Linked DNA regions of Lonchura striata. The protein of the gene in region 1 binds, or shares a complex with, the protein of each later gene. Links are inferred from orthologs where the notes say so. Each region holds a gene or a part of one and is shown in the gene's direction. Other genes may lie near its edges. The genes, in order: UPF2 and UPF1.

Evidence for each region.
Region 2: the proteins of UPF2 (region 1) and UPF1 are in contact, whole or in part, in a crystal structure (PDB 2WJV), measured with the Homo sapiens proteins. The link is inferred for Lonchura striata from reciprocal best matches to the Homo sapiens genes UPF2 and UPF1. Residues at the interface, in NP_056357.1 of Homo sapiens: Val1105, Cys1107, Glu1109, Asp1110, Phe1113, Ile1114, Ala1116, Leu1117, Met1120, Met1121, Asn1124, Leu1125, Arg1128, Met1169, Pro1170, Phe1171, Val1172, Met1173, Leu1174, Thr1175, Gln1181, Lys1184, Leu1186, Asn1187, Val1188, Pro1189, Ser1192, Gln1193, Leu1194, Asn1197; in NP_001284478.1 of Homo sapiens: Asn150, Thr151, Ser152, Gly153, Val157, Asn158, Leu160, Val161, Arg162, Lys164, Lys166, Pro175, Leu176, Gly177, Thr179, Tyr184, Cys188, Asn190, Val191, Phe192, Leu193, Phe196, Pro198, Asp202, Ser203, Val204, Val205, Val206, Leu207, Cys209.

What each region holds. Positions count from the first base shown.
Region 1 is NC_134607.1:67,040,435-67,055,168, forward strand, and holds the start of UPF2 (regulator of nonsense transcripts 2), read left to right. Parts: upstream 1-6,692; 5' UTR 6,693-6,822; intron 6,823-11,505; 5' UTR 11,506-11,523; coding exon 11,524-11,885; intron 11,886-13,236; coding exon 13,237-14,016; intron 14,017-14,734. Other genes in the region: DHTKD1 (2-oxoadipate dehydrogenase complex component E1), read right to left, coding at 1,593-1,752. UniProt on the Homo sapiens protein: Involved in nonsense-mediated decay (NMD) of mRNAs containing premature stop codons by associating with the nuclear exon junction complex (EJC).
Region 2 is NC_134630.1:7,311,245-7,326,445, forward strand, and holds the start of UPF1 (regulator of nonsense transcripts 1), read left to right. Parts: upstream 1-9,015; 5' UTR 9,016-9,086; coding exon 9,087-9,311; intron 9,312-15,201. UniProt on the Homo sapiens protein: RNA-dependent helicase required for nonsense-mediated decay (NMD) of aberrant mRNAs containing premature stop codons and modulates the expression level of normal mRNAs.

The sequences.
Region 1 (14,734 bases):
ACACAGGAATGTTTTGTCAGCTGGCAACCATCAAGGTTCTGGCTGGAAAGAGAGCTTTTCCATGCAGTTATTTCTGTCTTATTACCCTACAACAGCTCCCATCAGCAAACTGCTAAATCTGCTTCTCCATACAATTTTCAAGAAAGTACACTCTAGATTTCCCCCACAGCATAGGTTAGGTTCCTGTAAACATATGGAAAGCTACTTTATTTTGCTTTGAATCTCTTTACAACAGTAGCACTGTTGTAAACCAAAACCACTACAAACAGGTATGTTCAAGTCAAGCTCAGCACATTACCAGTGTATAGTCTTATTTCCTAAGCCAACTCAATCCTATCACTTATGCTTCCTTGTTCCTTGCTGGAATGACAGGATTGGGTCTTAACAATAATTCAGGTCCCATGACTTCAAAAAAACCAAAGTCTGTCTGCAGGAGCCAAGAGCATGTGCAGAGCCAAATGTGGTAAAAATTATCGACATGGGTAGAATTTGACCAGCTGAGAGGTCACACACATGTTACTGAGCACAAACACAGACCAGGCTGATAGACTGCAAACCATAACACATACTGCAAGCACAACTTGCTACAAATTAATGTCATGAACCAGCTTATAAAGCATTCATAATGTGGAGGGGTTTTTCATCCTGGTAAAAACGTAGCACTGACAGTAGTCAAGTCTGAAGGCTTTTGTTTTCCAAAACAATGAAATTCTCAGACCATAGCACAAGCTTATTTCTCTGACACTGGTCAGCCCATTCAAAACAGCCCCTTTTCTCTACTGGGATCTACAACACAGGGACATAACCCAGACATAAGGCTAACAGTGCCCACAATGCTCTCAGCAAGGAGGCCGTTTAAATGCAATTTTTAAAATGTTACATAAAAATATGTTAATCATTAACAAGGAGGCTACTTTGTGACGGGTCTCAGTGTCCAGGATGAGACTAATTTCACTCCTGCTCTGGGCAAAGGCTTTAAATCCTACCAGGGTCACCAGAGTAAAGTTAATGTAAGCACCAAACTCCTATCTAGAAGAGTTTACTGCTTGAAATCACCTTTCTGTACTGTAAAATGGAGCTAAAAGCAACACAGGATTGCTACAGGAGAGAGTTACCTGTATTTAATAATGAAATCCTGTAATGTTAAGGGGTTGGATGGGACCTTAGAGATCATCCCGTTCCAACACCCTGCCGTGGGCAGGGACACCTCCCACAAAGTTTTATCCCATTTGGCTTTGAACACCGTCAGGGTTGGGGCATCCACAGCCTCCCTGGACAAGCCGTTCAGTGTCTCACCACTTCAATTGGGTTAGTTCAAGCCCCACGGTATAAAAGGCGCGTGGCAGAGGTGCTTCTACGAGCAGCAGAACTCTCCGAGAGCCCCTCGCTGAGCAAACTTCAGCAGCCGGTGCTCTCACAGCCGCTTCAGCCCGTGGAGCGGGGCCACGCACCCCAGGCTCGCAGGACCCACAGCCAAGAGCTCTCGGAGCGGGTCTGCTCCGCGCTCTGCCCCGCGGGAACAACACAAGCAACACCTGAGAGCGCCCGGGCCCCGCTCGGGGCAGCCCCGGCGCGGCCCCGCGGTGTCCGACCTGCTCCGCCGGCGCCGCGTGGCTCCTCCGCCCGCCCGCCCGCCGCCTGCCGCGGTCTGTAGCCGTAGACGCCGCGCTCGGTGCGGTACCAGCGGCTCGGGCCGGCCCGGCAGAGCGCGCAGCGCACGGCCCGAGCCCCCGCCGCGCCCGCCATGGCCATGGCCGCGCTGCCCCCGCCCCGGGCCCCGGGGGCGGCGCCCGCAGCGGGGGCGCCCGGCGGCTCCTGCCCTGCCGAGCGGAACGAGCGGCGCACGATGGTCTGGGCTCCAGCGAGGCCTTTTGGGGTGCTGTGCCCAGCACAAGGGAGACAAGGAGCTGCTGCGGAGGGTCCAGCGGAGCCTCCGGAGCATCTCTCCTGTGAGGAGAGACTGTGGGAGCTGGGCATGTTTAGTCTGGAGAAGACTGAGAGGGCGTTTCATGAATGCATATAAATGTCTCAAAGGTGGGTGCCAAGAATTTGGTGCCAGACTCTTTTCAGTAGTGCCCAGCAACAGGACTAGGAGCAATGGCAGTAAAATAAAACCCAAGAAGTCCACCTTAACATGAAGAAGTTTTCATTGAGAGTGGCAGAGCACTGGGACAGACTGCTCAGGGATGTGGAGTCTCCCTCTGTGCAGACATTCACAACCCACCTGGATGTGTTCCTGTGTCACCTGCTCCAGGTAACCCTGCCTTGGCAGGGGGGTTGGACTGGATGATCTCCAGAGATCCCTTCCAGCTCTTACACTGGTGAGACCCCACCTGCAGCGCTGCATCCAGCTCTGGGACATGGCCCTGTTGGAGCAAATCCAGAGGAGGCCACCAAGATGATTAGAGAGGTGGGGCACCATTCCTATGAGGAAAGGCTGAGAGAATTGGGATTGTTCAGCCTGCAGAAGAGAAGGTTTCCTTGTGACTTAATTACAGCCTTCTAGTACCTGAAGGGAGTCTGCAAGAAAAGATGGAGATGGATTTTTTAGAAGAACATGTAGTGAGAGGATAAGGTGGAATGGCTTCAAACCAGGAGAGTGTAGGTTTAGATTAGGTATTAGGAGGATGTTCTTTGCTGTGAGCAGGGTAAGGTACCAGAACAGGTTGCACAGGGAAGTTGTAGATGCCCTACCTGTGGATGTGTCCAAGGACAGGTTGGATGGAGCTCTGATCAGTCTGGAATAATGAGAAGTGTTCCTGCCTGTGGCAGAGGGCGGCATAAGATGATCTTTCAATGTCCCTTCCAATCTCAACTTTTCTGTGATCCTGTAAACTTTGTGTGAATGCAGGTCTGGGGTACTGGCAGGTTTCCTGTCCTTAGGCTTGGTTATGCTCCTGTAGCCTCCACCATGAGGAAATCAAAGAGTATTTTTTTTGTCCAAATCAAACTATGGCATTTGCCTTTGGAACAGGTGGAACTGGATTTCAGAACTGAATCAGTTCTGACACCCCAGTTGGTCTGGGATTTTATATTCACAGTTCTTGCAGAGGGGCCACTTGTGTTCCTTGAGGCCTGTATGGTTGGGTTTATGCATATTTATAAAACCCAATATGGGAGAAAAATATAAAAATAAATTACTTTTAATGCTGCAAGGAGGGCAAAAGGATACAGCAACAGAAGGACAGTGGACATGTGGCCCATTCAGTGAAGGTGGTAAAAATGTAGCTGAGGATATTAATATTTTTTTCAATTAGAGTGAAGGAACCTTAAAAATAATGCTGCAAGATGATGTGATTTTTTTGAAGCTGACAGTGGAGAGGGAGAAAACATTGACGTAGTTAAAAATTTCCATTTTGTGCTTGGGGAAAAAGACAAATGTTGCAGGCAGATTACAGGATGATGAAATGCTTTTCCATAGTTCTTAAGCAAATACCAGTCAAACAGCAGATATCAATGTGGTTTTGCTTTCAATCATATAGGCAGTTAGTTGAATATTTCCCAATTAGCACTGATACGAATAGGCTTGAACAATAAAAATTTTCCAGTTTCTCTAGAGAGATGTTTCAGACACACTCAGAGATGTGTTCTCTGGATCTCAGAGAACTAATTATATATTCTCAGAGAATATTTGTATATATAAGTTCACTTAATAAAAGTTTAATAAAATCTAAGCATGTGTTTATGAAATATATATCTCATCAAGTCAACTTGTTAGGGTTTTTATGTGAATCAAAATCCAGTTAATAAAGATTTCACAGATTTTCCAGCATAATCATCTTGTGTAGGACATGATTACACGTGACAAAAACATTGCTATAGCTATATCTAAGTCAAGGAATGGCTTTGTTGACTTTGATTCATGTCTAAACATGAGAAAGTGGTACCTGTGCCAGGAGAAACACCACTGCTGAGGGCGTAGGCAAAGTGACTCTCCCAGCCTGGCTCTTCTGGCACAAAGCCTGTCCTAGAGAAGGCTCCTGTGTGAGGCTGATTTAGAACTACATGATGCTCTCACTAAAAAATACTAGAAACGTCCAAAACCAAGGCTATACACACTAAATAGTAAATGTCTGGCTGAGCACTGGGAATATTGTTAAAGGAATTACCCTCCTTGCCACTTCAGTAGTTAGATCAACCCAAAAAAGCTGCCCACACCTTGAGTGCTGATGAAGTTTGTCAGCTGGAGATAAGTGGTGAGGAGAGGTTACCTTCAGTCTGAGAGTCAAGATGGAGATAAGCAAACACAATTTATTTTAACAGGATGAGGTGAAAGCTTGCACTCATTGAAAGAGTATGTGCACTAAAATGTAGCTCATTTCCAGGAAACAGGGGCTATAAATAACCTCCAAAAATAATGAGAAAAAAGCAGGTGGGTCTAAAAAAATTATGTGGATATCTACTAATTCAGAAAGGAAGATAATTTGCTGGATTTGGCTGCAAGGAAATATAGAGGACACCTACAGATTCTACATTTGGCCAGTATTTGGCACAATTTGAATACTGTGTGCAAGTTTGGTGCCAGTAATTGAGGAAACATATAAAAAAATTTGGGAGGAAGAGCTTCAAGAAATAAAAAGAGAGATGCTTTATGTCTGAGATTCAGGGAACAACAACTACCTGCTTTTGATTTTGGTAAATCAGTACAAAAGCTTGATTAGCATGTGCACAAATGAAACAGGTCATTTAGGAGGAAAAGTTTGCTGAAGTTTGCTTGCGTGGCCCTTACAAGAAAGAGCTCCAACATAATTGTAGGTGTGGGAGTGTGGTATAAACACAGAAGGAGATTTTGATTCCCTTTCAAAACCATAGTGATTGCGCTTTTTATTCATGTTGGAAAGGGTAGCAACATCGTGCTTCAGAAGAAAACAAGCCAGCATCTCTTGTTGTAATGCCAATGCCACTGATAAGCCAAGTATAACCCAATTCCCCCTAAAAAGAATCATTGAGGTACTCATTGACAGGCCAAAGGATGGTGCCTTTAGAAAATAAAGTACCAACACTAACATGGATTTCCTCTCCCCCTTTTTGCCATGTTCTGCCATGGATCTTCTCCACTCCAGTGAATCAGTTTAATCAATTTGGTAGTTTAAGTTATTTTGGCAAGCAAATGAGATCTTTGTGAGCAGGGACATGTGAATGATCTGTACCAGTAACAAGCACAACTCCTTTCAAACTTGTCCAGAAAGAGGTTTTTAGACATGTCTGTAAAATGTGCAATGACGTTAAACAGCAGAGAGGAAAGCTCTCCTATGGAAAAAAAAAACAAAAAACAAAAAACAAAAAACAAAAACCTGTCTAGTCCTGTAGCAGCTTTGGCAGAACACACCTAAAGCTCTGCATCAGTAAACAGTCTCTTGCCTCTGGATAAAAAGCAACTTTAACAGCTGAATAACCTTGTTATGTACAACCAGGCCTGTGCCTGCTGTCAGTGTCCAATATTGCTGAAGGCTTGTTCTAAGCCCAGAGGGCTGTAAAGGTTTTCCCAACATAAAAGCTTCTATCAGAATCTGGATTCAAAATGTAAAATAAACACCAGATTCTCACTCTGCAGCTCTGAGCTGTGCCAGCTTTTGAGTTGCCCAAGAGGTAATGCCTTGCCTAGAACTGCAGGCAGAGAACATTTCCAACAAATCCAGGAGCTTTGTGCCACTAAACTCACCACTGTAAAATATCCTCAGATGTCCAGGTGGGAACTGTGACTGGACAAGAGGGCAGAGAGACCAAATTTAGACTAGAAAACACACCCAATGACAGAATCACAGAATGAGTGGGTTTGGAAGGGACCTCTGGAGATCATCCAGTCCAATCCCCCTGCCAAGGCAGGGTCACCTGGGCAGGTGACACAGGGACCAGGTGGGTTATGAATGTCTCCAGAGGGAGAATCCGAGAGCAGCCTCTCCCAGTGCTTTCCTCATTTGAGGTGAAATCTCTTATGTTATATTTTATGACCATTGCTCTGTCACTCAGCACCACTGAGCCTGGCACCACTCTCTTGGCACCTGCCTCGGAGATATCTGCTTGCATTCATGAAATGCCCTCTCAGTCTTCTCTTCTCCAGACTGAAGAGGTCCAGCTCCCAGAGGAGAGATGCTCCAGAGGCCTCCTCATCCCTGTGGCTCCTCTGCAGCAGCCCCTTGTCTCCCTTGTGCTGAGGAGCCCAGAACCGGGCACAGCAATGGACACCCACGAAAGCACCCCTGAGGCAGTAATTTGTTGTTCAGACACCGTCACCGCAATGTTTTATCACGGCGACACCTGAGGGCCCCACCCGCGACATGACAGCTGCCGTGACGCCTGGCGGGCACAGACACGTCACCGCAGTGACGTCATGCGGCTCCATGAGCCGAGCGGTGCTCTGAGGCCACCAGGGAAGCGACATTCAGCAGCTATTTCCCCCTCCCCCGCCGCTCTGAGGGACGCGGGGCCGAATCCTTTCCCTCGTCCGTTCCCATTCCCGTTCCCATTCCCATTCCCATTCCCATTCCCATTCCTCTTCCCCTTCCGCCTCCGCACCCCCGGTACCAGCCCGCCGGCAGGACCCCGGCCGGGCTGCCCGCCGCGCTGCCTAACCGCCGCCCCTCGGGAAGCGCCGCTCCGCGCCGCCCGCAGCCGCAGCTCTGCCGCCGTCAAGCGGCGCCGCTCCTCCCTCCGCGCCCGGGCGTGGCGGGGCGGGCGCGGCGAGCTCGGTCGGGGCAGCGCCGTGGGTCAGGCAGCGCGGCGGCGGCCCGGCCGCCGTGAGGGGAGAAGCGCTCGGGGGCCTCGGAGGGGAGGAGGAGGCGGCGGCGGCGCCGGGCGGGCCCATGTCGGCACCGGGCACAGGTACCGCGGCACCGACCGGGCGGCAGGGCGGTGCCGGGCCGTGTGCGGGCACGGGGACTCGGGCACGGGGAGAGGAGGGCACAGGGGCCTGGCGGGGGCACGGGGAGTTCCGGAGGCGGAGGGGCCGCGGGGCTCGGAGCAGGGAAGGCTCGGGTGGCGGTGCCTGAGAGCGCTGGGAGAGGCAGGCCGGGAGAGCACCGGAAGCTGCAGTTGCCGAGCTGCTGGTCCCATCCGGGAAAGGGCCCGGGCTGCGGGACAGCTGCCAGCGGGGATTGGGGTGGTAGCGAAGAAGTCTTTTTATACTTAGTGCCTTGTCTATAGGCCGCTGTTTCACGGTGGAAAGCACTTTCCTGCAAGTTTAGCAGCAAAACATTTTCCCCGAGAGGTATAGAAGCGAAAGTAAAAGTGCCCGGCTGTTCGGCAGGTCGGCCAGAAGATGTGTCAGTGGCCTGAAGTTGTGTCAGGGAAGGTTTAGGTGGGATACCAGGAAAAGATTCTTCACCCAGAGGGTGCTTGGGTACTGGGACAGGCTCCCCAGGGCAGTGGTCACAGCACCGGGCCTGCCAGGACTCCAGAAGTGTTTGGACAATGTTCTCAGGTACATGGTGTGACTCTTGGGGTGTCCTGTGCAGGGACAGGAGTTGGACTTTGATGATCCTTAAAGGACCTTTCCAAGTCAGGATTTTCTGTGATTCTGTGATCCTTCCCTGCCACTGTGTGGGGGGCTCCTCTCTCTCTGCACTACATTTTTTTTTTTCTGTGTACTGTGTCTCATTTTCCAAAACCTGTAAGTTTATTTTCTCCTCGCTGACCTTCATGTTTCTCTTATGCACCTTCCCTTGCATTAAGAGAACCTTAATTGCATTTTAGTTTTTGAAACTTGCAGAATTCTAGTGGTGTGATAACTAGTGATGGAGGAGTTTGTTGCTCTTTGAGACTTTTCAGCCAGTCAGAGGTAGGACATCTTGCCTACATTCGTTATCTCCCATATCTCTTCTGTAATAGATTAGCTGCAGAAAGGACTGTTTATATAATCCATTTAATGTCTAGTGAAAAATTTCATTGTGTTTAGTTTAATAGAACTGTATTTCCTTTCTTCATACTTGTGTTTGCAAGGATGGGGATTCTGGATCATGTTACTACAGGCTTTGAGAGTAGACTGTTTTTATTGATTTAAGGATATTGCTTTGAGGGCCAAGGTGCTGATGTTTATTGTTTTATTCTGAATTGTGAGTGGATTTGTGATGCTGAACACCATATGTTACTCTCTGCTTTCCTCATGAGTAAATAACGTAGATGGTTTTTCTGAAATGTTACTTCTGTATTTCAAAACTACTTCATAAGTCTATGAGCTCAGAGTATCATGAACCCAGTCCCATTCTTTCAAATTCCAAGATAATTGTTTAAAAAATTTAGAAACTTAAGTACAATAAAAATTGACTTAATTACAAATGAGTCACTGTATGTCAAATATTGAAAAATTAAGAAAAATAGTTCCCTCTAAAAACATGTTGTCTGTAGATCCTGAAACTGAGAAGGGGTGTTAAAACATGTAAGTATCACTACAGAAATGGGCTGCCAAGAGTCTAAAGGCATAGGGATGTTTGTCTTGTCTCTGTTTTCTCTGTCCTTCCTAATTTTCTGGTGTGAGTGTTGGTTTGTCCTGTCTGTTGGCTTATGGAGTTCATGTCATTATTATGCCTTTTCATCAGTACATTAATATAAATGTGAAATATTAAATAGAATAAAGTTTATCTTCATGTTTCCATGCCATCTTCAGCTTTGTTTTCTATGGAGATGAGGCCCAGGTGAGCCAGCTGTCTGTTTCCGTTTTCCCCGCTCCCACAACTTCAGGGAAAGTTGCCTTTGGACAGTTCTGTCTGCCTGTCACGGGAGCTCTGCCCGCTGTAGCCCCGCCTGGCTGCGGCTCCGCGCTGGGTCAGCGCGGGCGTAGCTTGGAGGCAGCGGCAGCACCGCCTCCCGCTGCCCTCGGGGTTTGGTGTCGGCACGAACGAGCTGGCAGAGCAATCGGAAAGGTTTGGGAGATAAGGAGCTGTACACGTAGTGAGAAGTATTGCAACATACCTGTTCTGGGGCACAGAACAGAATCCTACTGTAAAACGAGATTTTTGGGGGTTTTGGGACTCCAGTGTTCACTGGGAAAAATTGGATAATACTGCCATGTGGTCAGTTATGCTCCATTCCTTTTCTTTTTATCCCATCTTCTCTGGTTTGGTTTTATACAAGCAAACATCAGATACATCTTTAAAACAGAGTTCCTAAATTTGGTATGAGCTCAAGCACCATAATGATTGTGGTAAATGACCCTGTTGTTAAAAGTTAATTGTGCAGCTGGCTAGATATTTTGTTCAGAGTATTGGAATTGTGACATGCTGTTCCAGCATTTCTTTAAACATAGGCAACCCCTTCCCTCTTTGGTTAAGTACTGATTTCATAATAATACTGTTTTAAGATCGGTGGTTTTGGAATTCAAGTAGTTCTGAAATTTTATAGTTGTAGACATGCATTAGGGAGCCAAATGTGCTCCTGCTTGTTTAAACAATGCTGATTTGATTTCCATAAGTCAGTGTTAGAGACATTTCCCCTTTGATGCTGTTGCCAGTTGCTGCCAGAGGCCAAGTCATGAATAGGTTCTTTACCAACTGGTAAGTTGTCACTGCCCAGGTGTGAGTACTGGTACTGTAAATTTTTGCAATCCAGTTTTTCTTCAGAAGCTCCGGATGAGCACCTTAAATATTGTAATACAGTTTCATCTGGGTAGGATAGACAGCATATAAATATGTCATTTTATTGTTTGGGAGATGGCAGAGGGAATGTGTCATGCTTATTAAGAAACATATATTCTTTATTGTGAAGTTTTATTTATAAACATATTTCAAAATAGTTAAAATTAATACCAGGAACACTCTGCATTAGATTGGAATGCAGGTGTCTCATTATCCACTCTGAGTAGATGTAGGGAATTGGTGAATCTAGGATCTTTTCATAATCCAGAGTAAAATGTTAGAAAGGCAAAAGTAGGGGTGGCCATTGGCAATCAAACTGGTGTTATTAATAAAAACAAAGTGATGGCTCTTCACTTGAAGCATGTTAGTATGTGAAAATTATCTTTTGTGTTAAGAATTTAATTTAGCCTGAAGTAAAAGCCTGGGTGGTTGTAATTGCCTCTTGTGGTCCTGCCTGGCCCACCTGACCCTTACATGAGTCAGCAGAATGCCCTTGCATTCTAGGCTGTAGTACCAGGAGTTAACCAGGAGGCTGAAGGTGAGTCTTCTCCCTCTGCTCAGTACTTACCACATGCAGGTGTGGGTTCTCTGTTCCCAAGAAAGGCACTGACACACTGAAATAAGTCTCTTGGAAGATAACCAAAAACATAGGGAGGCTGGAGGACATGAGCTGAAGAGAATCAGAGAGAATTGGCTTCTTGATCTGTAAGAAGTGAGGGGTAAATCTTACAACTGTCTTAAAACAGCCTGATGGGAGAGTATTGTGAAGATGAAGCTGGCTTCTCCAAGCTGTGCAGGGATAGGATGAAAAGAAACAAACACAGTATGGGGCATGGTAATTTCCAGGTTGGTATTAGGAAAAGCTTTTTCTCTGTGTGTCCAGAGGGGACCACTGCTTCTCTGTTCCTGGAGATACTAAAGCCTTAGCTAAGCCTCTGATCTGCTTGGAGCAGGGGCCCGAAATAGGTGCTCATGATAGTTTCCTCCTAATCAAAATTGCCCTGTGTTTTTACCGTTTTGTGTTCAATATGTGTTACATTTTGTGTCTTTAGCCAGATGAAATCAAAGCTTGGAGGGCTGGAAACCCCAAAGATGCTAAAGCTCCTACAAAAATGTTGGTTGAGTAGAAGGAGAGAGAAATTGTAGTCTTTGATAAGTCTTGATAATTGCAGCCTTTCTGATATTTCCGTTTGCTCTGCTGGGAGGGAGGTTTGTGCATCCAGCTTTGTCAGCACTGCTCGCTCTTCAGCTGCTACTTGTGCTGAGTGCTGGAGATGCTGGGGAAATCTGGGGAGGGGTGAGGAAAGAAGGAAGCAAGTTGATGCCTTTTCACAGGGAGGATAATCTGCAATGAGGATCACAGTGAGGATAACCTGCATTGGAGCAGATTGGCCAGAGGAGTTGTGGAGTTTCTGTGCCACTTTTCTTTGACACTTTTCAAGACTGGAACTGCTTTGAGCAGGAGGATGAATTACATGAGGTCTAATCTAACCTGCATTATCCTATGATCCCAAGTAGTGGTAGTGGAAGCGGGGGCATTCTTAGGAGATATATAGAAGGGTCAATGAGGTGCAGATGCATAGTGATGTATCAAGCATGTACTTACTTTTAAGTTTGGAGTACTTTGTTTTCATCAGTCTTGAATTATTTTTCTTTCAGATGAACTTACTTATGTTCAAGATCTTACATTCCTTGGGTAGTAGAAACTTCAAGAGGCTTTTATTTCACAATTCATGCTGGAGACAGCTTTGCAGAATAACATGTTTACAAAATGATTTGTTTTTACTTGTCAGGTCCCTTCCTTAGTTGAAGAAAACATAAACCTTTATCCTGATGAGTCATGCATTTGTGAGTTAAGTGAATATGGGTGGGCTATGAAAAATGACTAAAATATCAACAGCAATTTTAAAGTATTTGTTTTCCTGTGGTTCTGCAGGTTTGCCTGGATAACACAATGCCAGCTGAGCGCAAAAAGCCAGCAAATATGGAAGAAAAAGAATCTCAGTTAAATAATAAAGAAAAAGAATTTAGTGAAAGGCGACCAGTGAGCACCAGGGAGAAGCCAAAAGAAGATGTGAAGGTTGGCATGAAGAGAGAGACTTTAAAGGTTCCTGAAGATAAAAAGAAAAAAATGGAAGAGGATAAAAGAAAGAAGGAAGACAAAGAGCGGAAGAAAAAAGAAGAGGATAAAGTAAAGGCAGAAGAAGAGCAAAAGAAGAAAGAAGAAGAAGAAAAAAAGAAACTTGAAGAAGAGGAGAAAAAGAAACAAGAGGAGGAAGAAAAAAAGAAACAAGAAGAAGAAGCTGCTCAACTGAAGTAAGTTATCTTTTAAAGGTTTAACTGTATCAAATGTTAGAGTTCTGTTATCAGGATTGTGGTCAGAGTTATAAAAGATGAAGTGTTGGAGTTTCTTTTAATAAGTTGCATGTAGTGTTACCAATTTTATGTGCCTGTCTGACTGTGCTTTATGACTTCTAAGAGGTTTTGAGTTTTCACTTGTAACTTCTGTTAGTTTGGTCTCTGCTATGGGGGTTTGTTAGTGTTCTGCATATGATGACCATGGAGAGCACAGCTGTGCTTGAGTAAATGTTGTGATTTAACCCCAGTTGGCATCAGCCCCACACAGCCACTCCCTCCCCTCAAAAGGATGGGGAAAAGAATCAGAAGAGTAAAAATGAGAAATCCTGTGGGTTGACATAAAGACAGTTAAATGGGTAAAGCAGAAGCTGTGCAGGCAAGCAAACCAAAGCAAGACTCCTCCTTGGTGGGGTGGGGTGTGGAGCAGAAAAGGCTTTGACTGTGTGTAAGCCCATCCCAGCGGTAGTGAAAACATCCCTGTGTTATCAACACTGATTCCAGCACAAATCCAAAACACAGCCCCATACAGGGTACTCTGAAGAAAATTAATTCTGTCCCAGCCCAAACCAGAATAGAGAAGCACAGATGCATTTAAGATGAAGTGTTATTGTCCAAAAATTGGGAATACAGACTTAACAGGTCTACAGATCATACATAACAGGAGCAAATCTGATGTGATAAATTACATTTACTCAGTCATAGACAACTGATACTTGGATGGCAAACTCAGAATGTAACCTGGAAGTTTAATATGTGATATTACCAAGACCATGTTTCTTATTATGTTATCCAACCGTAGTACAGTGTTGAATGTGGAATCTTTATAGGTCTGAAATATTTACCTTTTAAGATTGAGGCAATGTCATAGCCAGATTCTAGCTGGAACAGATATATTTCACATATTCCAAATTTTCTGTGTAATTTCATTAGTCTGGCAATAAAAATAAATGTGTGATACAGTAACCTGTTGAAAGGTTGTTTCCTCTTCTGTGAGAATTTCATCTTCATCTGTAGTAAATGGAGTTTCATGTTTATATTTTCAAAGTCTGTTGGGATTAGTATGTTCTGTGTAGAAATATTTGAGAAATTTTGTAACAAGTAGTCCTTGCCCTTTGCAACACAAAAATTAAGCCGAGCTTCTGAAGCAGATGCTTTAGCTTTCTAGGATTAGCTTAGTAGATATTAAAGAAGAGAGGTGAAATGGTGTTAAAACTCCTGAAGGTTTTCCAACTGTGACCTTTTCTCCTCTGTCCTGATACTCTGAGATTAAGGCTCCATAACAAAAATGAGTAATTCTTATGTCGCACAGGGAGAAGGAGGAAGCACATCAGCTCCATCAGGAGGCTTGGGAGCGCCATCAGGCAAGAAAAGAGCTCCGCAGCAAAAACCAGAACGCACCGGAGAGTCGTCCAGAGGAAAACTTCTTCAGCAGACTGGACTCCAGCCTGAAGAAGAACACGGCTTTTGTTAAGAAGCTAAAAACCATTACAGAGCAACAAAGGGACTCCTTGTCCCATGACTTTAATAGCCTGAATTTAAGCAAATACATTGCAGAAGCAGTAGCTTCTATTGTGGAGGCCAAACTGAAAATATCAGATGTGAACTGCGCTGTGCACTTGTGTTCCCTCTTTCACCAGCGATACGCTGATTTTGCTCCTTCGTTACTTCAGGCCTGGAAAAAACATTTTGAAGCAAGGAAAGAAGAGAAGACTCCCAACATTACCAAGTTAAGAACTGATTTGCGTTTCATTGCAGAATTGACAATAGTTGGGATTTTCACTGACAAGGAAGGTTTGTCTTTAATCTATGAGCAGCTTAAAAATATTATTAACGCTGATCGAGAATCCCACACTCATGTTTCTGTGGTTATCAGCTTTTGTCGGCACTGTGGAGATGACATTGCTGGTTTGGTGCCAAGGAAGGTAAAAACTGTGGCAGAGAAGTTTAACTTGAGCTTTCCTCCTAGTGAGATAATTAGCCCAGAGAAACAACAGCCCTTCCAGAATTTGTTGAAGGAATACTTTACATCTTTGACCAAACACCTGAAAAGGGACCACAGGGAGCTACAAAATATTGAAAGACAAAACAGGTGACAATTGAATGTTGCTTTTTACTTATGAATAAAAATTAGTTTATTTACTAAATGCCTAGATTTGTTGTAGTATTTATGAACAAAGTCTGTTAGCAGTGTATTCTGCAATGTTTCTAAAAAACATTCTAAATTTGTTCTGAATACTTAAAAAACAGAGACAAAACAGACTCTTTGAATATCTTTTAAAGGAAAGGGAGGTTGACCTTTAGTTGTAATTCTCTTTCCTCTGTTTAGTGCTGTTTCCTTATCAGCATGAGAGTAATGCTGCTTTCCCAGCTGGTACTGTCCTTTTCCAGTTGGCACAATCTGATTTCTCCCTTTCCACCCACATGTATCAAATGAAGCATATGCCACAATTGCTTTGGCTTGTTTACTTTTTTTAGTGTACCAGGATGAAGGAAGAAATAGGTTAAATTAAGGAAGTATCTGTTACACTCCAAGGTGGACAAATATATATTAAATAAATGTATTAAAATGTTGGAGGGTATAGACAATTTGATAAAATTCCTCCTAAATATTTACATGTAGTACTAATCTTGCAGGGTATAAATATGCAGACTTTGAGATTTTAATGATTTTATTTCTGCTATTTTCACATTGGTTAATAACTGCTTTAAAGCATCTTGAATTCTCATTATTGGAGCCAGCCTAAACCCAAATGCTATTCTTGAAACAGTCATTCTTAATTTCTTCTGGAAACATTCCAGTCAGATAG
Region 2 (15,201 bases), on another chromosome or scaffold:
CAGGGAACGAGAAAAGGACAAAATGTGCGAGGCTTTATCCAAGGCTGAGCAAGCCTCAGCTTTCTATGGCTGGATTAGTGGGAATTCAATTAAAACCCCATGGAAAGGGCTGAGGCTACAGCCTGGCCTGAGGGTGATCCTCCATTTCAGCCCGTGAGGGAGAAACCCCACAAAGCAGTTTTTAGATGGTATTTTTGATGTCCAAATCCACTGGAACAACGTCCCTTGGTTGTTTCAGCCTTTTGGCCTTCTCAGGCAAAGGATGTGGATGCAGATTTTGGCTGGATTTGGGTTAAATCCCAGGAGAAGAGCTTGGGATCACTTTGGGATCACAGTTTGGGGTCACAACAATCCTTCAGGCTGTTCCTGTGCTCCAGGATCTGGCTTCTGACTTCCAGACAAGAGGAGTGAAAACCCTGTCCAGGGTTTGAACATCTTCCTCCCCTCCATTTCCTTGGAATCTTCATGCTCACAGAAAATTCCAGGGTTTTTAGCCACTTTTCTTCAGGGTTATTCTGATTTGGTTTTCCACCATGACCTTCCACGCTTTGGACTTTCCATTTTGCTGCAGTTTCTCCCCACCCTGGCTGCTGGCCCCGGGCTCTGTTTGCCCAAACTCGAACATTATTTTTCAGCTGAAATGACATCATGGCTGAAGTGCTGTTTAAAATTATTGCTCTCCAGACCTCCCTCACATCCCCTTTTGCAATCCCCTCTTCCAGCAAAGCCGTGTTCTCATCTGGAGCCAGGAAGGGTGGCCTAGAACTGGAATGTCTTGTCCACATCCATCCCAGGACTTCTGCTCTGCCCTCATCCTATAGCCAAAAAAAAAAAAAATCCAATTGAACTTTTCAAATTTTTAATAACACTTGCTAACAACTCCATAAAAATAATTCTGTGTTCTGGGCCCTCTCCACATGACATCAGGCTGATGGATTTCTGGGCCAGGCTCCCGAGGCCGTTTGCAGCCTTCTGTTTGCTCATAAATCAAGGCCAGCGGTGCCGTTTTTAGCAGAAGCGGCCCAGTTCAGAGTTTCCAGACTCCTCCATGGGTTTGCTGTGCTGCCACAGGCCCTGCTCCGAATCCAGCAGCTCCACCAGGCCACACGTCCACCGGAGCACCTGTGGCAGGCTCTGGAATGGCTCTGCTGGTGATTCTGAAGGGACCAGCATGGCAGAAGTCCTTCTCCCCGAATTTCCACGGCCTTTGCAGCGTTATTCCCTGTCCAGCTGGCCGCCCTTCCCGGTGGGAACGCTGCCTCCTTGCACGGAGCAGCTGCTGAGGTGTTTCCAGCACGATCCTGAGGCGCAGCCAGCGCCCAGCGCCGCCGGGCTGGGGGCAGGATCCTCCCCAGGCTGTGGGAGCACGTGGAAAAGGGACGAGCCAGCATCCTTGGCAAAGGGAGCAGCTGGAAGAGCCCTGAGCATCGGTGGGACGAGGGGAAACCTCCCAGCACGGATCCAGAGTTCAAGGGTCCCTCTGTTTTGGGGTGTCGGTGCCCTCTGGGGTGGGAATGTTCCCCCTGGGGGATGTGGGGCAGCCTGGGAGCCCACAGCCGCCTTGATCTCGTCCCAGGCTGTTTGATGGCATTCCTGGGTTCATTTCCAAGCAGCTCCTGACTTCTGGGAAGGCCTCACAGAACTACACTGAGACCATTCACGGCCTGAGGGCAGCCCTGGCTGGGTTCCTCCAGAAATCCACAGAATTCTGCAAGGAAAACATTCCTTCCCCTTCCTAAAACCGCCCCCCCAGACACGACAAACAGCTCCTTGGAAAGGCCTTCCACGGTGGCAAAACAACTGCGACACCCAACCCTTTTGGGGTCCCTCAATTCTGCTTGATTTTTGTTCAGCAAAAATGAAAAAGAAACGTACACTTGATGAAATATCACCAGTTTTTCCTACAGGTGTGGAAGCAGAAATGACTTTACATTCCTTCTTTTTCAAATTTGGACTATTTGCAAGGAGAAGATAAGGCCAAGCTGGGCAAATTTAACATCAAAAGGGACTGAAAAGGAAAATTCTTCAGGGACGGAGGCCAGAAAATTAAATTTTCCAGTTTCAGAGCATTTTTGGATGAGGGTGTTTAATCCTGGAGCCCTCCTGGAAGTCCTGGTGTGGCCAAACACACCGTGGACACTCAGCCAAATCCCAATTATTGATTCCTTACATTAAGAGCCAAATTAAGATTTCTCCACAGCAGGAAAGAAGGATTTCCTTGGGAGGATTTATTTTCTATGCAGAGAATGTAAATATGTTATTCCCTTACACTGAAAGCACAGAAAAAGCCAGGGTGGGACTCCAAAATTCCTGATTTTGAAGTGATTTTTTTTTGTGCTTTGAAGATGCAAACCCAACCTCAGGTTTAACCCTGAGCGTTCTGCCCGCCCCAGAATTAAAAACCTGCATCAGCACGAAATCTGAGGAGAAGTCAGCTATCACCACATCCGAAACCTGCTGAAAGTGCACCCAATCCCAAATTTCCAGGGGATAACCTGGAAATCCCCCATTTTCCTCTCTTTCTGGGGAGGCTCAGCAGCCCCACACACACATCCCAGCCTGTGGGAGCCTGGATTTTCCATTACTCCACAATCACCTCCATCTGCCCAGGAAGGCTGCCAGCAATCCCAACAAACAGGGACATTTTGGAGCCCATCAAGAGCTCCACATTTTGTTTTTAAGCTCAGCTCCAACAACATCTGCTTTGGAGAAATCCCTTTTTTTAATTTTTTTTACATTTTATTCCCCCAAGAGCTGTCTATGCCCCTTTGGAAATTGAGGATTTTTAACAATTCTGCTCCTTCCAGAGGCAGCTTTAATAGGGAACAGATCCTCCCAAAGATCTCCTTGAATAAATTCAGGAATTCCAGCATTTTTTCCCTTGGATTTTAGGAACTCTTGGCTTTTTCTTGGTGAGTTTTAACTTCACATGGTGATTCTGCAGCTAAAAACCTAAAAAAGGCACAAGTTCTGTCCATAAAAAGCTTTTTTCCCTACATTAATTCCTCCAATCCAGGTCCTGTCCTGTTGTTTCAGACCTTTTCAAGGGAAGGGAATTTTAACACGATTTTGGAGAGAAGGATTTCAAGTTTCCCACTGAAACTCAGTATTTTTAATTCTTATTTTAATATTCAACCCTAATTTATTGGAGTTTACTTATTTATTTATATATAGCATCCATTTGGAGCTGGTTTAGAGCACCAAATTTCATTTCCTTTTCATCTCCTGCTGTTATTTTTTATTATTTATCTTTTATTATCTGTTAGCTTTTATTATCTGCTATCTTTTAATGTCACTCACCATCCTTAATTTCTGAGAACTTTCTTCATTCAAAATCCTTGGATTTTGGCTAAAATCTTCTCCTCCTTTTCCCTCATGGAGTTACATCCCTGTGACTTGTTCTGGGAATATTTGTGTATCCCCAATTAAACCTGCAGATAAAGCAGAATTAATCAGATTTATCACAATTTGCTGAAAAACAAAAAAAACAATCATGAGGAAAAACCCTTTTCTGCAAATCTTCCCCGCTGAAATCAGAGCTGGATTTGCATTTCCTGTTGTACTAAAGTTTCTGGTAAATTAAAGACATTCTTACACTTATTTAATAACACTTTTTGGAGATGTTCTTAGCTTGTGAAAGCATTCTGGGTATTAACGGGTAAAAATACAAAAATAAATATTAAAACATTAAGTTATATAAATAAATATAAAATTAGGTATATACAATAATATACAAATATGAGTATAAAATTATAAAATATAGAGATACAATATTATATAATATTAATAGAAATAGTTATTAAATATATAAAAGTATAAATATTTTTAAATGACCACTCAGGGTCCCAGCACTCAATGGGCCTTTTAGTGTGATATTAAAATGTTGTCACATTGTAAAATGCAAGACTGAAGTCCATAAAGTTATAATTCTTAAAAAATAAGGGATTTTTCCTCCCATTTTCCTTTTTTCCAGCGTTTTTATCCCAATCCCAGCCTGCCCAGCCAGGGCTGGAAGTGAAGCTTTGCTGCCATTAAGGATGAGTCCCTAAAAATCCACTCTGCATTAATTCCAATGGATTCCAGTCCATTTCAGGACTGGGATCTTTAACTCCACAAGAGCCCACGAAATATTCAATATTTACTTCAGGGGCTTTCATGGGGCCTTTGTTCCATGCAGGAATTTTATGGATCTGGGATTTCCTGGCATTTGCATCATCAGCTGTTAATTAGTGAAAATTCCCTGGGAATAAACAGAAATACCTCCCCAGCCTCCATAAACAAAAAATCAGTGGGAATAAACAAAAATACCTCCCCAAACCCACAAAATCCTGTGGGATTTGTTGCTCCAGGATGGAACAAAATCCCAGCCAGCCCAACCTCTCCCTGTGCTGACATTCCAAAGGGAAAAAGCTGATGGGAAATGAGGAAAATCTGTGGGGGGGGAAAAAAACTATTTTAACTATTCAGGTTTCTCAGCCCATTATCTGTGAAGATTTTTTAAGGTTTAATGGGATGAATTTAGGATTTTAGGGATTTTGGAGGATTTTATGGGATTTGTAGGAATGCTGTGATCCCAGAAATTCCCAAACAAAAGGGAAATGTGTTGCTATGATCCCACCTCGAGCTGGTCCTTGGATTCTTTCTTCCCCAGCTCCTTTTGCTTTCCTTCTGTGTCCCTCTCGTGGTAACTCAGGAGAAATGGCACTGGAAAAACTCATTCCCAATTTTTTTCCCTATGGATTTAACCCTTTAGAAAAAGAATAATTATTACTTTACTGTAATTTTGTCAGCATTGAGAATATTTTAATTTTTTTAAAAAACAGATTTTTTTGTTATTCTTTCATTTATTGGTATTCAGGTGTGGTAAAATAAGTAAAAAATTAAGGTATTTTCATTTAGGATTTGTTTTAAGTAAAAAGGGAAGAAAAAAGGCAGAACACAGAGACAGGAAATGAAGAAAATTGAGCGTTTGGATGAAATTCTTTATTATGGAAGGCACTGGAAGAGATTGGTGTGGATTCTCCATCCCAAGGACAGCTTGGATGGGGTTGGAACAACCTGGGATAGTGGGAGGTGTCCCTGCCCGTGGGAATTGATGGGATTTAAAGTCCTTCCACCCCAAACCATCCTGGAATTCTGTGATTTTTAAACCCTCTGAGCTCCCTGAGCACTAAATAAAATTATGTGAACAGAGCAGGGAGGAGATAAAGCGATAAAATTGCTTCATCAACACCCTGGGTGCATTTATTGTCCTTAAAGAACACCCTGGGTGTATTTATTGTCCTTGAAGAACACCCTGGGTGCATTTATTGTCCTTAAGGAACATCCTGGGTGCATTTATTGTCCTTAAAGAACACCCTGGGTGCATTTATTGTCCTTCATCAACACCCTGGGTGCATTTATTGTCCTTAAAGAACACCCTGGGTGCATTTATTGTCCTTAAGGAACATCCTGGGTGCATTTATTGTCCTTAAAGAACACCCTGGGTGCATTTATTGTCCTTAAGGAACACCCTGGGTGCATTTATTGTCCTTCATCAATACCCTGGGTGCATTTATTGCCCTTCATCAACACCCTGGGTGCATTTATTGCTCTGGGTGGGAGCTCCCCTGAGCTCCTCCCTCCCCACCTGCTCCCTGCTCCACCCTCACTCCCCCTAACCCGAATTGTTCCATGCCAGGATAAAAATATCCCACTTTTCCCCCGTTTTGGCCAGCCTGGGCTCCATTGGCTGTGCCCCCCTCACGTCACAGAGCTCTTCCAGCCTTATCTCCATGGCTGGGAATTCCTGGAGACCAATCCCATCCCTGCCTTCCCCTCACAGCCCCGAGAGGAGGAGGAGGAGGAGGAGGAGGAGGATGCCAGCAAATCCCAGAGCTGCTGGGCTCTGGAATTCAAACCAGGTTCAAGGAAAGGCCTCTCCTTATTTCCAGGGCTGGGATTTCTCTCCAGCACCTCCAGCTGCTTGGGTTTGTCACTCCTCATCAGCACCTCGGCATAATCCCCTCTGCACCTCCTGCGAGCAGAAAGCATCTCTTAAAATATGAATTCACTCACGTTTTTATCTCCTTGTGAATCCCAGCTTCTGATCTGCAGGGCGACGGGAAACTCAGCAGCGTTTGCAGGGAGTTGTGCCAGTTTGTGCCCGTTTAAATTCCATACTGGCAGCACAGCAGTCAAGCCCAGTGAGTCACAGCCTCTCCTCTGCAGCAGCCCGGGGTTGAGGCAGAAAACTTGCACAAAACACCCAAAAAAAAAAAAAAAAAATACAGAAAATGCAGCCTGGCAGCTCTGCAGTCTGGCTGTGCATCCATTTTATCCTGAAAAGCTTCAAAGCGGCCCCCAGAGCTTCCAGCGCTGCGATGAAGCAGAGCCATCCCAAAATCCACGTGCCTCTGCTCTGCCTTGCTATAAAGAGAATTTCACCCTCCAGTTTAAACCAGTTTGGTTTTCCAGCTGCTTTTCCAGTGCTGGGGGATCTGCAGCTTCAGCACCTCAGACAGCAGCCCCGGAGTGTCCCCAGGGCCACCCTCGGGGGACAAACCCACAGAGGGAATTTCCAGCCTGTCCCTAAAGAGCTCTGCAGGCACAGGGAGAGCACAACTTTGATCCCTTTCCAAGACTTCTGAGGATTCTGTCAAGCAGCCAAACGTTAGGAGTGAGGTGTGTTTATTAATAAATAAAAGTGTTTGCAGCAAGCAGCCACCTGGCTTTGTACTATAATTTTTTCCCCCCGCTCCGGCTCCACTTTCATCTTCAAATGTTATTTTATGCTTCTCCCCGTTATGCTTTGGTCTGAACAGTTTATTCTGCTTCAAAGGAAGTTGAACTCAGTCTCTCTGCAGAAGTGGAGACTCCTGTGCTCCCTGGATTTGGTTTTTTCCCATCCTTTTGCTGCACAATATTCCCAGGACAAGGATGTTTTCCAATCTCCATCTTTTCAGCCCAGCAGCCGCAGATCTGGTACATGTTGTTTCAGGCTGGGCTTTATCCTACACCAAAAGCAAGAATATAAAATCCAAGTTATTTATAAGAGAAGATACATATTTGCATCTCAATGTGGACGGGAAAAGGCACTGAATATCCAGCCTTTCCCAACACTAAGAAGGGATTTATTGTGTTCTGATCGAATGGAATGAGGGTAAATTCTAAGTTTTTGGTTTATTTCAAGGTAGAAATGTTCTCTGCACGGCCCTGAGCTCAGAGAATGCCCAGTGCAGCACGCCCAGAGCAGCTCAGCCTTCACTCAGAGCTGTGGGGTATTACAGGTGGGACAGGAATTACAGCTGGAGCAGGAATTAATGTAATTCCCGCTCCTTAATTCCCACTTAACCCCGTGTCCCTCCCGCCAGCTCCAAGGGAACAGGCAGAGCTGGCAGCTTATGGTGGGCACAGGTGACCCCATTGTCACCACAGTGTCCCCGTGGCCTCAGAGTGCCCTGTGTCACCACGTCCCCTCAGAGTGACAGCTCACGAGCGCCCAGTGCCACCCCATCCCCTCAGTGACCCCTCACGAGCGCCCAGTGCCACCTCATCCCCTCAGTGACCCCTCACGAGCGCCCAGTGTCACCCCATCTCCTCACAGTGACCTGTCCATCCCCTCACAGTGACCTGTCCATCCCCTCAGTGACCCCTCACGAGTGCCCAGTGCCACCCCATCCCCTCAGAGTGACCACCCCATCCCCTCACAGTGACCCCTCAGGAGTGCCCAGTGCCACTCCATCCTCTCACAGTGACCCCTCACGAGTGCCCAGCCACCCCATCCCCTCACAGTGACCCCTCACGAGTGCCCAGTGTCACCCCATCCCCTCAGAGTGACCACCCCATCCCCTCACAGTGACCTGTCCATCCCCTCAGAGTGACCTGTCCATCCACTCAGTGACCCCTCAGGAATGCCCAGTGCCACCCCATCCCCTCACAGTGACCTGTCCATCCCCTCAGTGACCCCTCACGAGTGCCCAGCCACCCCATCCCCTCAGAGTGACCACCCCATCCCCTCAGTGACCTGTCCATCCCCTCAGTGACCCCTCACGGGTGCCCAGTGCCACCCCATCCCCTCACAGTGACCCCTCACGAGTGCCCAGTGCCACCCCATCTCCTCACAGTGACCTGTCCATCCCCTCACAGTGACCTGTCCATCCCCTCAGAGTGACCCCTCACGAGTGCCCAGTGCCACTCCATCCCCTCACAGTGACCTGTCCATCCCCTCACAGTGACTTGTCCATCCCCTCAGAGTGACCTGTCCATCCCCTCAGTGACCCCTCACAAGTGCCCAGTGCCACCCCATCCCCTCAGAGTGACCTGTCCATCCCCTCAGTGACCCCTCACAAGTGCCCAGTGCCACTCCATCCTCTCACAGTGACCCCTCACGGGTGCCCAGCCACCCCATCCCCTCACAGTGACCTCTCCACCCCCTCAGCCCCCGCCCCTCATCTCGATCTCCCATTGGCCGCCGCACCCGTCACTCACCGCCAAACCCCGCCCCTTCCCTCCGCGCGCCGCTCCCTCCCGCCCTCCCTCTCACCTCACCATCCCATTGGCCGCCACACCCGTCACTCAGCGCCAAGCCCCGCCCCCTCCCCGTGCGGGCTGCGTGGGCGCGCAGCGCGCCCCCTGGCGGCCGCGCCGCGCCGCGCCTCCCCTCCCCGGTGCGTGCTGCGCGTGCGTCACGCCCCCCACCCCCCCCGCGCGCGCGCGCGCTGCCGCCGGCGCGTCCTCCCCCCCCCGCCCCCCCGCGCGCGCGCGCGCTCCGCGTCACCGCTCACGGGCCTGGCGCGCGGCGGCCGCGGCCGCACGGACCGACCGACCGACCGACCGACCGAGCGACCGAGCCCGGCCGCACTCCCGGGCCCGCTCCGCTCCCTTCTCCCGCCCGTTAGCTCCGGGGCCGCCCGGCGAGCCGGCGGCGGCGGCGGGTTCGTTTGTGCGTGTGGGTTGGGGCGCGCGGCCTGGTGCGCGCGGCGCATCCCGCCGCTCGCGTAGCGCGGCCGCCCGGGCTCGCTGAGGGGGAAGCCCGCGGCTGCCGCGGCGGGGGCGGGGTGAGGGTGGGGAGGACGGATCCTCCCGGCCCGCAGCAGAACGCCGCCATGAGCGTGGAGGCGTACGGCCCCAGCTCGCAGACCCTCACCTTCCTGGACACCGAGGAGGCCGAGCTGCTCGGCGCCGACACGCAGGGCTCCGAGTTCGAGTTCACCGACTTCACCCTCCCCAGCCAGACGCAGACCCCGCCCGGGCCGGGCCAGGCGGGGCCGGCGCAGGGCCAGGGCGCCCCCGGCGCGGGGCAGGGAGCGCCGGGCCCGCTGGAAGCGCAGGTGAGCGGCGGAGGAGCGGGGGTCGGTGCCCCGGGGGGAGCCCGGCCCCGGGAGCCGGGATTGCGCCGGGATTGCGCCGGGATTGCACCGGGATTCCACCGGGATTGGTGCCGGCAGGAAACTTGCGGCCGAGTCGCGATAGTTGTGGCGTTGCGATGGGGAGGAGGGAAAGAAAAAACCACCGAGGCGGGGTGAAATTCGGGTTCTTTCTCCTTAAAACAATCAGCTTTCGCTGGTGTTTGTTATCCAAAGTTGGGCGCTGACGAAATTCTTTGCTTCTTCTTTACTTCCCCTCGCTAAAATAACGCTTGAATTTCTGCTTGTTATTACTGTGAATGTTGATTTTTTTTTTTTTTTTTAAAATTTCAGTTTCCACTTTGTCGCTACGCAGCTGTTGGGTTTGTTTGGGGATTGTGTGGTAGGGACAAGTTCTGAGCTCTGGTTCTTAGTGGTTTAACAACAGGTTTTAGTTTTATTTTGTTTTGTTTTTTTTTATTATTGCAGTTGATGCCTAGAAGAGAATGAAATTGTATTTATTTAGCAATTCACAACTCGTAGGCAGGGGAGGAATTAGGATTGCAGCTGACAAGAAGTGCAGCAAATGAAGATAACAATCTCAGTGTGCCCGTAGTAAACAACAAAAACTCCAAAGAACTCTCCGGTATTTCTAAAAAAGCCACACTTTTCTCCAGTTTGAAGATCGTGGAATATTCAGGTCCCTCACAGAAATCCCATTATTAACCATTACATGCTTGTACATCACCCACGTGTTAAGGGATGAGTGTAAAAAGGAATTGAGAGTTTTAGGTGAGTTTTTTATGCCCAAACCAAACATCCTGGGCCTGGTTTTTGTCCTTTTCCTTGCAGGAGCTGCCCCAGGTGGGTGTGTGAGTGCAGCAGAATGGGAGCAGGGAGCACATCCAGCTCCACAGGTGTGCAGGGCAGGGCTGAGCGAGGCTTTCTCCTGTGCTGGGGGTTTATCCCAGCACAAATTAAATCAGTTTTTCTGCCTGAAAGTGCTCGGTGACTGCAGGGGTGTGCTCAGGTCACTGTGAGTCAGAGCTCTTGGGTTATTTTCTGTTCATTTGCAGCTCTTGGATTTGGTAGAATTGATCCAGTTTTTGGGCATTGAGAGATCAGAATTATTTTCTGCCAGCAGTAAAATCTCTGTGTACATTAAAAGAGAATTTTAATCACATTTAATTTTAAACCTTTAATGGGTTGTGATCACTCCAGAGCTCCCAGTAGGGAATTTGTGGCCAAGGAGAAGAAAAACCACCCCAAAATCAGCCTCATAAGCTGAAAGTCCAGGCAAGAGGATAATTAATTGGCCTTTTTTTTTGTCTAAACATGTTTGAAAAACCTTTGAGGTCAAAGTAAAAAAAAAAAAATCTCTGGAGAGCACCTTCAGGTACTGGTTTTGTCTCCTGGCTAAAAGGAAGGGATTTTGGGTTGATTTTTTTAAAAACTCAGGGTGGTTTTGAGTTTCTGCAAACTTTTGCGGTCATCCTGCTGCTCATTTTGATGTTAGAAATGTCATTTTTGGGGAGGGACTCTCAGAGGAGGAGCAGGCCCCGTTTCCTCCTGGGTGAAGTAAAACAAAGCCCAGGATCTGCTCAGACCTGCCCCTCTCAATGGGCTCAGGGCTGATAAAATCACAAAATCTGGGGTTTTTTAAAACTTCTGGGCAGAAGTTTTGCTGCCCTCGCTAGATGATTGAAGTTTGTTATTCTTTTTGGCAGGAGGCATCTTAAATAATGACTTCTCCAATTGATCAGGTTTTGCTTAATGAAATATTAGCCCTGTGATTATAATTAAAGCTAATTAAGTAAATAATTGTATTTGGAGCTGAGGAATATTGGAGGTGGAAACTTTTGCTCTGCTGTTTCTGGGGTCTTTTTAAAAAGATGAGTTGAGCCATGCAGGGCACTTCATTTTTTAGGGAAAAACTTCCTTTCCCAATATATTTAATTAATAGTGTTACACTTGATTAGCGGCCAATGGTCGAAAGTAGGAGTAGAGCACAAACATTTTCTACAGAAAATTCTATTCCCATTGTTTGCTAGAATTAAATCAACATAAGAATTTTCGGAAGTGTTTTCAGAGGAATTTAAACCAGAGCAGCTGTGGATCGCCGAGCTGCCCAAGGAGCACCGTGGGAGCGAGGAAGGTGCCCTGGCCGGGCTTTGGGGTCCCTTCCCAGCCCAGAGCAGCCGGGAATTCTGTGGAATTCTCGCTGCTGGGAGCTCGGTGTGGGCGAGCCGGGCTCCCGGGTGGCTCAGCACGCCGGGGCTGGCTTTCCTTTCGTTGCTCTGCTAACAAAGGCTGTTCTGTCCGGGCCACACCAGCCCTCGCTGCTCCCTCCCAGGGGCGAGGCTTTCCTCGGCTTCCTCCTCGGGAAAGGGAACGCGAAAAAAGCGAATCTCCCTCACCCCGCAGTCCCAGCAGAGCCCCGAGGGGAAAGTCACACACCTTTGCCACCCCACCCCAGAATTGTGGGGTTTGGGGGATCCCCTGAGCTGGGGGTGACTCTGTCAGCAGGCTGGTGCTGAAGCCTCTCGCAGGACTTCTCTGGCAGAATACCTGCTGGAGTTAAAGTGCAATTACAGCTCTTGTTGCAGCTTGAAATGCAGCACTTGCAAGCAGAGCTGGGTGAGGAGGCTGCAGGTGTGCTCACCTGGGGCTCTGCTGCTGGCCCGGCTGGGTGTGGGAGCTGGGAGCAGGAGTGAGAGGGGAATATTCTGTCAGCACTGATCCGGGACTCACAGCCTGCAGGATTCCAGAATCCCGGCACGATTTGGGTTGGAAAACCTTCAATCTTAAAGGTCCCAGAGGGAGGGACACCTTCCAGTGTCCCAGGGTGCTCCAAACCCCCTTGGGCACTTCCAGGGATGGTCACAGCTCCTCTGGGAATTCCATCCCACCTTCAATCTTAAAGGTCCCAGAGGGAGGGACACCTTCCAGTGTCCCAGGGTGCTCCAAACCTCCTTGGGCACTTCCAGGGGCAGCCACGGCTTCTCTGGGAATTCCATCCCACCTTCAATCTTAAAGGTCCTAGAGGGAGGGACACCTTCCAGTGTCCCAGGGTGCTCCAAACCCCTTGGGCACTTCCAGGGATGGTCACAGATTCTTGGGAATTCCATCCCACCTTCAATCTTAAAGGTCCCAGAGGGAGGGACACCTTCCAGTGTCCCAGGGTGCTCCAAACCCCCTTGGGCACTTCCAGGGATGGTCACAGCTTCTCTGGGAATTCCATCCCACCTTCAATCTTAAAGGTCCTAGAGGGAGGGACACCTTCCAGTGTCCCAGGGTGCTCCAAACCTCCTTGGGCACTTCCAGGGGCAGCCACGGCTTCTCTGGGAATTCCATCCCAGCCTGGAGGTGGGATATTCCTTCCCAATATCCCACCCAGATTCCCCTTCCCACTTTGAAGCCATTCCCTGTGCTGGGATTCTAGTCCTTGTCCCAAATCCCTCTCCAGCTCTTCTGGAGCCCCTTCAGGCTCTGGAAGTGGCTCCAAGGTGTCCCTGGAGCTTCCCTCCTCCAGCCCGACCTCCAATCCCCACAGGGAACGATCCCTTCCCCATATCCCCCCATCCCCGTGTCCTGTTCCTCCATCCCTCGTCCCCAGTCCCTCTCCAGCTCTCCTGGATCCCTCAGGGACCTCCTGGTGACATCTTCATGCCATGGTGTCACCTCGTTCATGGAACCAGGGACTCCCAGAGTGCTTGGAAGGACCTTCAGTGCCACCCCAGCCCTGCAGGGCCACCTCCCGCTGTCCCGGGCTGCTCCAAGCCCCATCCAGGGATGGAGCAGGCACAGCTTCCCCATCCCCGCTGCTTTCTGCCCCTCAGCTCGGTCCCTGGCCCTTGCTTTGTGTCCCAGGGAATGTTTTGGAGGCCAGCAGAGGAGCGAGGCAGGCCGGGCAGTTTTTGGGAGTAGTTTTGTGGCACCTCTCAGCGCTCAGCCCGGAGCTGCCAAACTCGCCGTGCCAGAAGTTGCAGCCAACATTTTTCCCAGCACAGCAGTGGCCCCCCTGCCACCACAGCTGCCCGTGCCAGGTTTTTAATCCAGTGCACACGGGCTGACATCACAGGAGGGTTTGCAACAATCACTTCCTCATCCACAGCCTGCCAAGGGCTGGGGCTGCACAGCACAGGTGACATCACCGCTGCCTCCCCGAGGGCTGGGACAGCACAGCCACTCCTGCCCTTGACATTTCTTCCTTTTCTGCCTTAAAAAATCCCAAACCGAGCCCAAACTTTACTGCTTTTTTTAAAAAAACAGGAGGGCGGTTTTTTATGAGCACTCAGAAAATGTATTAAAATCAACCAACCTTCAAGTAATGCATTGTTGGGTAGAAATGCCTGGGAATGCTTGTAAGGAGTTCAGATAAACCCCAGGCTTTGGAATCCCACCTGTGCCGGATCAGGCCTTATTTACCTTTTGTACAATGGCTCTGTCAAGTGGAATTGGATATTTGAAGTGGGTATTTCTCTGCTGGCAGTGATCTGAAGTGGATATTTATCTGTGCAGTCTGTTCCCCAGGCAGCTGATGGGATCTGCCCTCACCCCGCTGATATTGCTGCTCCTGCCGTGGGGCTGGATTCCTTTTTCCAGCTTCCCTTTTGCACTCTTGGTTCCTCTGGGCTGATCCTTTCTATTAAAGGCAGAGCTTGGAGATAACACCAATAGAAGTCAGCCCATTTATTGATTGTATTTAAATGCTCCTCATTTCATTTGCAGAACTGGAAACAGAGCTGGTGGCCCAGGACAAGTGGGAAATTGGCTTTGGCCTTTAATTCTTGCAATTGGCTGTTAAATTTTTAATGTGGATCTCTCTAAATGAGAAATAAGCTGAGTTTGCTTCATTACAGCATGAAGAGGGCAACTTTTTAATTTATTTTTTGATTTCTTTTGCTAAAGGTTTTGTGTTCTCCCTGGCAGAATTAAGTTGCACCTCCCAGTTAAATTGCATTAAATCTAAGTTGTTCAAATATTATATCAGAGACAAAGGCCATGAGTGATTTTTGTCCTATTTGGCTGGTTAATATTTATAAATAAATCTTAACTTTACTAATATTGGGGGGGGGGGTAATTATTCCTTTGATAGGGAAATGACCCCAGCACTCCCGTCAGATGTGTTTCGAATATTCCAGCCACTTTGGTGGCCCCTTTCCCACATTTTCCACTCAAAATTAATGTGGATTAAGATAAACTTATCCCTGTTCAGCTTTTGGTGGGATCTTGGCTAAAGAAGACAGAGAATAAACCACATTTTGGGCTCTTTCCCAGCTCAGTATTGGGGTGCTGAAGCCCCTCAGGGCTGGAGAAATTAAACCAGGACACGTGGGAAGCCCAAGGGGCAGCACCTGCAGTGGTCCTGCCAAAATCCCAGCGTGATATCCACCACCTCCTGGTGGTAAAAGTGCCAAAAAATGGAGTTATTTTTGTCAGGAGAAAGGCTGGGGGTGGGAAAGTTGCTGAGACAGCACCAAATGTTGCAGAATTCCATGGTTCTGGCAGTCCATGGTGGATACAGGAAGAGGTGGGGGAAATTCCTGTTCCCAGGTAGATCCCAGGAATAAAAAGAAGGGTGAGAAAACAACTGCTGGAATTGTTGAAATGGAATTTTGTTCTGTAAGGTTGTGGGAAAATGTGAGTGCAGAAAAACAATCTCCTTGTTTTCCTGCTTATCAGTTGGAGCAAGTATCGATTGTGGGATTGCATGGAAAAATGCAATGTGCAGGAAAGCAATCTCCTCCTGGAAACTTTATTCCAACTTATCAGCTGGAGTTGAAATAGTCCTGGAGAGCAGGAGCTGATGAAGCAAATCGTGGTTGTATAATGGCCGTGTATGATGCTCTTGGCAGCAGTTTCTGAGGAGGTT